3 linked regions of the Coturnix japonica genome follow. The protein of the gene in region 1 binds, or shares a complex with, the protein of each later gene. Links are inferred from orthologs where the notes say so. Each region holds a gene or a part of one and is shown on either strand. Other genes may lie near its edges. The genes, in order: PIGF, PIGG and PIGO.

Region 1 (3,659 bases):
CTACACAGAACACTTCCAGCTCATGTCTTTTTTTTTCCTTCAGTGAACCTTCTTCCATAACTGTGTTACGTACAGATAATTTTATGATCAGGAAGTCAACCTGCACTAAATATTTTCTTCCTAAAGCAAGTGAATTTACAACTACATTTGTCCCTTTATTTATCAACACTTAAGACTTCATGTTCAGGAAAAACAAATTTAAAAAGAACCAAACACTAAAGCCAAAACCATTAAAATAAATAAGTAAATAGATCAATAACTGCAAACCTCTGAGAGTCTTGAACAGGATCTCTAAGAAGCCTCCTTAAAGGAGTTCCACTCCTGCTTTCAACACTGGCTACCATTTTTGTGCTTCGCTGCAATACAGCTATAAAATATAAAGGCTTTTACAAAGAGCTTCTTTCATTTTTCCCTATAAAGCAGATCCTTAAAAAAAAAAAAAATAATTTTTAAAAAGCACCTAAATATGAAATTTTCTGACTGCTGAAATGGCAGCTTGCAGATCCGATAAGCAAACTTCTCCATTCATCTGACCTCTTGGATTACTCAGACGATGATTCAACTAATGATCCAGCACTTCAGACTCAAAATGGAAATTAAGATTTCTTCTCCCACCCCATTATTTTAAATTCCACAAGGTAAAACATGGAGTGGGGAGCACTCATGCCTGCAGAAACAACTAGTGACAAGTTACAATATTTGAGGATTCTGCCAATTCTTTGTTGTCCGGAGGAGTCAGATAATGAGTTTTTAGATTTACAGATTCCAGATCTCAACTTCAGTAAGTCTGTTATGTTCAGCTTGTATGACTTTGAAGACTTTTCAAGCAGAAAAAGCCCTGGGTGAACAGGTGAAGGCAATTCAGCTGTGTGACTGGAAGGGGTGGAGCCTGGCTGTACCTCTCCTAGACCCCATTTAAGGGCTGACTGCCATTGGGGAAGGGTCTTTCTGGAGATCCCTCCCTGGTGGAGTTTCTCCCTGCAAACCTGACACAAGTGAGCAATCTTCTTCCCTTATAGCACCCTTCTATCGTGCCAATAGTACCATCACATTGACCTGTCCAACTGTGCTACACTCATACACACAATTTTCACCCAAGACCAAGTCCCATACTAGGAAATGCAACTCTTAGATTTTCTTTTGTGAATGACACCAAAGAAAGAAGAGACAGAGCATTCAGTACTTCTTTCTGACAAATGTCAATGGAGTAGGGAAATGGACAACATGCCATTATATGCTCATATAAATCCAAGTTTTTATCAACACTTACATAGAATGATTCAATACACAAATGCCAATGAGTGAAGATACTGTGACAAATCTTGGGTGTAAGCAAAAGAGTTAAATAAAAACTGCCAGATGTGACACAGCATTTAAAAACATAGCTGAGCAAGAAGAGAACTGCTTGTCTCTCAATGCAGAAGGACATAACACTGCGTTTCAATGAACCCCTTGTCTTTTAGGCAGTATCAGGGAAGGTCAGCCAACAATTAACTGGTTGCCAACACATACTTTACCATCAGTCTCATGTAGGTACCTTGCAAAAAAATAATTCCAAGCCGTTTTAGAGAGGAAAACTTCATTTTATATGTAAGGTACTACCCTACTCCTCTACTTATGATGGCATAAGGCTGCTAGCTATTTCAGGACGACACATTTCTATGGCAGCTCTAAGTCTCCACAGTATCAGAAAGAAAAAGCATGTTGGCTGTTATACTGATTTCTGAAATACACCTTTGAAACCATCTGCTTACAAACAGGCCTCAAAGATATTGTGTAGCAGAGAGTTTTAGAGGTTGGTAACTGGAGGTAATGAAAATACCCACTGAGGATCTTCAGTGCAAATTGGTACCGACATCATCATTTTAGGGCAAATGCAGATTTTCACTGTTTTATATAATCATTTCTCCATGACAAAAAAATATGAAGAAAATAACACAGACAATTAGAATATATTAAGACGGAATCTGCAGTGCAAGCATTTTTTATTGTGCAGTTACAAAGCTAATCCTTGCCTTCCTCTGAAATCAGAAGTTAAGACTGTAGTACAGTTCTTTGGCCACACCATCTCCACAAATCAATCCAAATCTATTTCAAATGTATTCTCTTAAGTGTTTGTATGGATCTGAAACACTGGGAGAGCATCATTTCTTCCCTGCCCATAAGGAAGAAAAAATACCAGACTGAAAGTAGACAAACCCAGAGCAATCTTTATCATTTCACATTTCTCCTTCCCCTTGTCTAGCTTATCCTTACAACTCTATTTTGTGATTAAAATTTGCATGCAGCAGACACACTCATAGAACTACAAGAAAGAATCTTAATATGTAAAAAAAAATATGCATTTTCCATCCTTATGCTGTAAGAAAAGATGCTTCCAATGACCTTTTAAATGTCTGGCACTACCCTGCAGAAACAACTTACAAGTAAATCCAAGTAACATCTGTTCAGTTTCAGAGCCATTTTGAGTAGCTTGTATATCTGGAAAACAGGTGTTTTTTAATTAACAATAAAGACGCAGATACTAACCTGCCAGGGCCGATCCCAATCAAGAGGAATAGGAAATGCTCCAAACCAACCTCCTAGTATACTGCACATTGTAGTAATCTGTAGGCTGTTCTCCCAGATGGACATAGCTCTGTAAAAACAACGTGTTACAGGATTTCAACAGCAGCAAATGACATGAAAATAAACACTGCAAAGTAAGTACAGACTGCATGTTCCACCTCTTAAGCCACACTGCATTCATGTTCAACTGCACAGGAGGCAGGAAGAATTTTTTGCATGCTGGTGAATTTCTTGCACAGCCGATCAAAACATGTAGTGTATGATAACAGATGTTAGTGACTTTGGTTCTCAGTTTATAGCCTCCCACCAGCAGTGGCTTCAAAAGTTTTGGACAATTTGGGTTTCTGTTTATTAGGTAAATGCTTATTGTCCATCATCTGTTTACTGAGTGAATATTTTTGCTTCCCTCAAGCCATGGACTTCTGAGTTCTTTGTGCATTTCATAACACTGCAGGGCATAGTACTGAGTTGAACTGAATTCAAAGCCCTACTCCAAATCAGTAAGGTACAAGATCAGGATCTTAAATTTGCTCCATCTCGGGTTATAAACACAAATCTAGCTTTAGCCAATGAAGGAAAGAAGATGGGCATTTTACAGCTAAAAGTCTAGATGAACTGCAAACCCCAAACTTTACAAGTGACATTTAGTCTGTGTGACATGAAAGCTTTAAACCTTTAACCCTTATTTTGAAGAGTCTAAAGTACTCAGAAGTCTAAAGCATGTAATTCACTGCTGCACTCAATATTGATAGAACCATTTATAAGCATAGGACAAACAAATTCTACTGCTTGCTGCATAATATAAAACTCATGCTGCTTATAATATTTATAATGCAATGCTGACATTTGGGGCAGAAACAACACTATTTATTCTACGCTAATCCCATTGCTGTAACTTAGAACACTAGATTTGAGCACACAATTATATCTTCTTGTAACTTGGAAAAAACAAGCAAACACTAAGCTAGTCTACACACCAAAAATTGTAAATTATTTCCAGAATTACAGAATGACCCGGGTTGGAAGGGACCTCAAGGATCATGTAGTTCCAACCCCCCTGCCTGGCAGGGCCACCAAACATACACCTTTAC
Region 2 (3,659 bases), on another chromosome or scaffold:
GTTGTCTAACCCATCTTCCAGCAATTGTCATGTTCAGATAAAATACTTCATTTCAGCAAAGGGAAGAAAAATGGGGTATCAAAGCACTGATTCAGTCTTGTAAGTAAACATGAATTAAACATGCAGTGGCTACATACAGATGAAAAAGTATCTCATACAAACCATCTCGATCTGTCTCCACTTCATGTCACACATATGATAAAAATACCTCCAGACAAATTTGAAGGACAGTCCTGGTCATTTATCACATCAGCCATCTAATCAAAGTGAGCTTGAATTACGCTACTGACATATCAGCTAACATCTGAAATGTGCTAATATGTCTACCATCTTATTTGGCATGCTGTTCCAAGAGTTTTCAGAAGACATTGTGTTTAAAGAGTCAGCAAATGTAAACAAGCGATGCTTCCTCTGTTAGGCCCTGCATTATAGGTTTAAGAAGCTCATATCTTAGCATAACCAGCTCACTTACAGGTGAAAAGTTCTGCTTCTTTCAGTAGGAATGGTTTGGGGGATATTTTATAATTGAATTGACCATTCAAATCAGAGGGACAACTATTTCATTAAATGTATACGGTAAAAGAATATATAAGGACTGTCAAGTTCCACCCTGAAAGTATCTTGTTTAAAGAAGAATCATAGAAAATAAAGACTACAGCATATACCTGTCCTGAGATGTATAAAATGAGCATCTGAAGTCTTGTAGGGTATTTGTGCTCACAGAAGCACAAAGATATTTTAGTAAAAATAATAATAATAAAAAAGCTACTTGTTAATTGCTCCCAGATAAACTGCCACTTCATTTCAAGCTGTGCTTTAAGTACAAGACCACTATATCTGCCAATAAAGCTTTATTTTCTAGAGCTTTGTTTCATTAATTTTGAGAGCACCTTTTAAATCACTATATAATTAGAGATTTATAAACATCTGACATGATTTAAGCACATTATCATATTCACTATTTATTTAAGGTGAAAGAATATAAAAGCCCTTTATCTTCCTTCTTGTAATTAAAATCACTATGATGAGTGCAGAATGAGTAAGTTCTCAGAAAAGGCTTTTGTCTTAAGTACTCCACTTATTTCTCTAATTGCATTCCATTTGTATCTCAATTCCTGTATTTAATGTTTTGTCCCACGCTGCAGTTTGTTGGGTTTTTTTTTCCATTACAACTCCAAGGACCTTACTAAAACACAAAAATGAGGTTAAACCCAGAAATGGATTTGAAGCACACATGCTTTCAAAATACACCTTCAATCACAGAGCAAAATTCTGTAGACTAAGTTTACCATTGCACCCATGAGTGCTGAAGGACCTGGCAGAACTGACTGCCAAACTACTCTCTGTCATCTGGGAAAGCTCACAGAGAGCGGGAGACATGCCAGTAGATGGGAAGAAATATCACCCCACTCTTCAAAAAGGGCAAGGACTCCAGAAAGTACAGTCCAGTCAGCCTCAGCTCAGTTGACCATCCCCTGGGAAGGGCATAGAATGATTTATGATGGATGTCATCTCTGAGCAAGTGGAGAAGAAGGTTGTCAACTACTGCTGACAAGGGGAAATTACTGACCAACCTGGTAGACTTCTATGAACATCTGTGTAGGTGAAGGGAGAGCAGGGAATGTCATATTCTTTGATTTCAACAAGGCTTATGACACTGTCTCCCATAACATCCCCATAAGTAAGGTCAGCAAGCGTGGTCAGAAAGGAGTGGACAGTGAGTTGGTCAAGAGAACCGACCGGTAGAGCTCAGAGGGCTGTGCTCAGTGGTGCAGAGTCTAGCTGGAGGCCTGTAACTAGCGGTCTGTAACTAGCTGTGTTCCCCCTGGCTACAGATCACAGAGCACTGGAACAAACTGCCCAGAGGCAGGCTGTGGAGTTTCCTTCTCTGGAGATGTTCAAAACCCACCTGGACACTTTCCTGTATAGCCTGCTGTAGGGAACCTGTTTTAGCAAGGTGATACTCAGAGGTCCTTACAACCACTACAATTCTGTGATTCTGACATTACTCTCACACTCAGCAGAAAGAACGTACAATGTTAACACTGGTCCACAATTAGAACTATCTTCAATATTTGGAAAGACAGAATGTATGTAAATACATCTCCATATATATGTATATAAACACAAAGATAGTTTTTAAAGATGCCTTATTAGCAAATCTGATCTATATGTCATAAGATCTTTTCCTGCAGGACTTTTTCCATATGTGTATCTTGTGAATTTCCATTCTCTAATTAAACAAACAAACAAACCACTTGTGTCTATATCAAATAAAAAATGAATGTGAAAGAAAGTTTATTTCATTTGTAAGACAACAGTTAAACTTGTCTTCCACAATCCGCTCCTCTTTGAATGTTCTTACTAACTCTGGAAGTTTTCCACAGCACTGGTATTTACAAGCCAGGTACAATCCAATGATAAAAAGCTCCACAAGAAAACTAAAGTGACTTAGCCACGTTCTAGAAGTAGTCCCTGGTAAAAATGCTAACAAATTCCTTACAGTTGCAACGACCAGCTCGTTAAGAAATTTACCATCCACATAAAAGTCCTCAGTATGCACTATACAGCACAGCCTAGTTATCAAGAACTTTGTTACAGTCATACATTACAAAAATACTCAGCTGAGAAAGGAAAATATGGAAAAGCAACACTGAATTACTGTATGATCATCCTTCAAAACTAGCAAATAGTTAAATGAATTTGACATGTTCTCTGCTAAATGTGGCAAATCCATCTAAAACATGAGGAGATGATGTATTTGGGGCTTCTTTCTAGCAAAAATACAGGAAATGACTACTGGATTTTCTTTCCTCTGATTAGTTCCTATCTAACTTCTATTCTGACAGAGTTGCAGGACACTTCACAAGGCTTAAAATTAAACATCACAAGAACCTGCACGTCAGTCACCTACAAAATATTTTTATTTAGTTTTACTCATAAGAGTTTTATTACAGTCAAAACATAACAGCCCTCTCCACCCTATCCCCCGATAACGAAAGCGTTAACACCTTTATAGAAACAGATTTACATATCTGTTGATTAACTTACTTTGAAATATCTTTGCTGTCACGTTGCCATGGAAATACGACATTTCCAATGGCTGCCCGGTAACTGTAGACTCCCAGAAGCCCAAGTGCCATAGCAATTTTTGAAACCAGGGAGCATCTTCTTTGAACCAGAACAAAGATCATAACGAGGGAAACTGCAGCCAAGACGGAGAGTTCAGACTTATGCTCAGAACTGCAGAAAAAGAAACACACAAACAACAAGAAAAAACTTCAAACCACTGTAATTACTGTGAAGCACATTTGACAGAGCCTCAGCTACAGCACTCTATTGCCAAATTAATTATTGCACTGAGATATGCTATAAATTTTCCAAGAGGTATGGTAAAATACTTTAGTAGTTTCAAAAAATTGATTTTATTAATGAGGCTTCCCATTCAAGAATGCATGCTTAAAGTGGAATTATTGTGTTCCACTATGTGCTAGCTATTCTCTTAATTATATAAAAACTGAGCTGCTTATTGCATAATGGAAAAGAGCAGAAGCTTTTAAGCTTGAATTTTCCTATTTATGCATTTTTAAACAGTACATTTTGATTATACTACAGCCTTTCATTTTCTGGGATAAGGCATATAAGATTTTTACATTATA
Region 3 (2,365 bases), on another chromosome or scaffold:
CCAGAAGGACTCTGCAGTGTGTCACTTGTAACTTTATTTTCCTGGTCTCACCAACAGCTTCTGGCCTGTGTGTGTGCAGCTGTGATCCTCAGGAGGCACCTCATGGTCTGGAAGGTCTTTGCCCCAAAGTAAGTTGCAGGAGTTAGTTTGATGCTGGGTGTTGGCTCATGCTGCTGAAGTCTTGGCTATAGTTCTTAGCTAGTAATATTGGAAGTGACCATGTGATTGATCTTCGATAACTTTTCACTAGTAGAGGCTGTAGAATTGGCCTTGACTAATTCCTGCTTCAGGTTCAGAAGCTGGACTCAGACTGGAGCAGAGTCCTTTCTCCTTGATTTTCAAGGATGCCCAGAGCCCACCTGTAAGTTAAAGAATATTCAGGGCAGAGAGGCAAAGGTAGTGTTATCAGCCTACAAATGAGATGCAAACCTTTGGGGTAGTAGGCATGTGGGATGTCCTTGACCTCTGGGAGTTCCCAAATCCCACTTTAATGTCTTCCTGAATGGCCTTGAAACCAGCAAGGAACTAAAGGCATGGTTGGCTTCTGGATCGCAAGCAGCATCCACTTCTAAGGAATAAATGCAATCCACGTTTTATGACTGGTGGTACTACCAGTCCCTCACTGTCAGGGAAAATTATCTGCTGGGGTTGTGGGTAGCATGATACCTTATTGCATCTGTTGTGCCTCCAGGTTCCTCTTTGAGTCTCTGGGCTTCATGGTGAGCAGCATCTGCCTCCTGCTGGGGATCTCCCTGGTGATGCGTGTGGACTGTGCCGTTAGCACCTGGTTCAGCCAGCTCCAGCTCAGGTAGCACCGAAGATGTGGGGAACCTGACTTGCTCGTCGGCCAAGGCTGTGGTCATCTCCCTGATTCCTTAGTGCCAGGAGGGGTTCAACAGCCACCAGCAACGAGTGCCTGCCGACAGCAGTTTGGGATTATCCCTCGCTCCCTGCCTCAATGTTGTGCAAAAGAACCAGTGCCGGCTGTTCCCTGTTCATTGTGATGCTCTGCAGGGAGCATGCTTCTCAGTGGTTGAGGTTGGAACTCTTGTGCATTTGTTAGCAGCAGGAGGAAGCCAAGAAGCAAGAAGAGTCCTGAGGTGCTTCTCCGCAGAACCAACAGCAGGATGTCTTGCTAGTGCATTCCCAAAAACTGCCCCAACTGTGCTGCTAGTAGGCTGCAGTGGTCTGCAATGTGCCTGGAGAGCATCATCTTGCCTGTGCAGAGACATTGACTTACTTGAAGGGGCCTGCTAAGGAGGGACAGAGAGAAAAGGCTACTATAACTCTGCCCTCTTGCTGGGTCCTACAGCCACCACTTCTCTCTGCATGCTCCGTTTTCATGCTGGAATCAGAGTGCACACAGCTATGCTGGCAGATGGTTTCTGGGGTCTTGGTTGCACCTGCCTTCCTGTCAGCCTAGTTCATTGCTCTTAATGAGGCCTCTCCTGCCCTATACTCACTCCTGTTTTTCTGATGTTCCTAAACAGTACTAGGGGCTGAGTAGAGCTGACTGGGCTGTCTTGGACAGCCTGAAGCAGGCATAGTTTTTTGGGAAGATTTATAGCAGGGTAAATGGTGTCCATGACTGGAAAACTTCACTCATGACCTTGGCCTGCACTGTCCATATAGTCAGGGCTGTAGCAGCTGGGGCTCTTGGTCTCCTCCTGAGCATATGCTGCAGGATGGTTGGTAGTTGATTAGGAACAGTTATTTGCTAGCAGGATGTAGTGACAGACCATTTGACTCACCCCTGTATTGGATCTTGTTAGGAAGAAAGGAGGGTCTTGTGAGGCTGACTGCAGGACTGATCTTGGTGAGAGCTGAGAACAGCTGCTGGAGATTTGTGAGCAGGTGACAACTCCTGCATGGTGGCCTAATGCACTGGAATCCATGTATGTGCTGGGGAAGTTTCTGTCACCTTGATGGCATCCTAGGCATTGTGGAGGATGGCATCTGTGATCCAGTACTGGGTGCTTATCACCCAGTGATCTTGCTTTTGTGCATGAGGCTTTGTGCTTCAAGTGAGCTATCTCGAATCTGCTTTTGACTGTGTGCTGTCAGATGTATATCTGTATGGGCAGAAGTGGAAGATGGTGACCATGGTGCCTGGCTGCATTCCAGCTGAACTCCCCCTGCACTGTTGATGGGAGCTGGGATTCCTTACTGCCCTGAACCACTGTGTGGCATTATTTGGTGCTATGAAACTTTTCATCTCTTTCCCCTCTGGAAAGAGCTGAGGACTGCTTGCCTGAGATTCTTCCTTCAATTTTTGTTCTGGTCTCTGCTTAGTTTTTTTGACTCATGCATCCTAACTGCTTCTGCTTGAGTTCCTCGCTCAGTCTGAGAGAGTCTGCCTGTGTAA

Evidence for each region.
Region 2: PIGF (region 1) and PIGG share a complex: the UniProt entries of both Homo sapiens proteins name them as parts of the ethanolamine phosphate transferase 2 complex. The link is inferred for Coturnix japonica from reciprocal best matches to the Homo sapiens genes PIGF and PIGG.
Region 3: PIGF (region 1) and PIGO share a complex: the UniProt entries of both Homo sapiens proteins name them as parts of the ethanolamine phosphate transferase 3 complex. The link is inferred for Coturnix japonica from reciprocal best matches to the Homo sapiens genes PIGF and PIGO.

The regions. Positions count from the first base shown.
Region 1 is NC_029518.1:23,881,349-23,885,007, forward strand, and holds part of PIGF (phosphatidylinositol-glycan biosynthesis class F protein), read right to left. Parts: intron 2,639-3,659; coding exon 2,530-2,638; intron 2,156-2,529; exon of another isoform or gene 1-2,155.
Region 2 is NC_029547.1:47,222,512-47,226,170, forward strand, and holds part of PIGG (GPI ethanolamine phosphate transferase 2), read right to left. Parts: intron 3,244-3,659; coding exon 3,052-3,243; intron 1-3,051.
Region 3 is NC_029547.1:7,848,059-7,850,423, reverse strand, and holds part of PIGO (GPI ethanolamine phosphate transferase 3), read left to right. Parts: intron 1-57; coding exon 58-128; intron 129-691; coding exon 692-812; 3' UTR 813-2,365.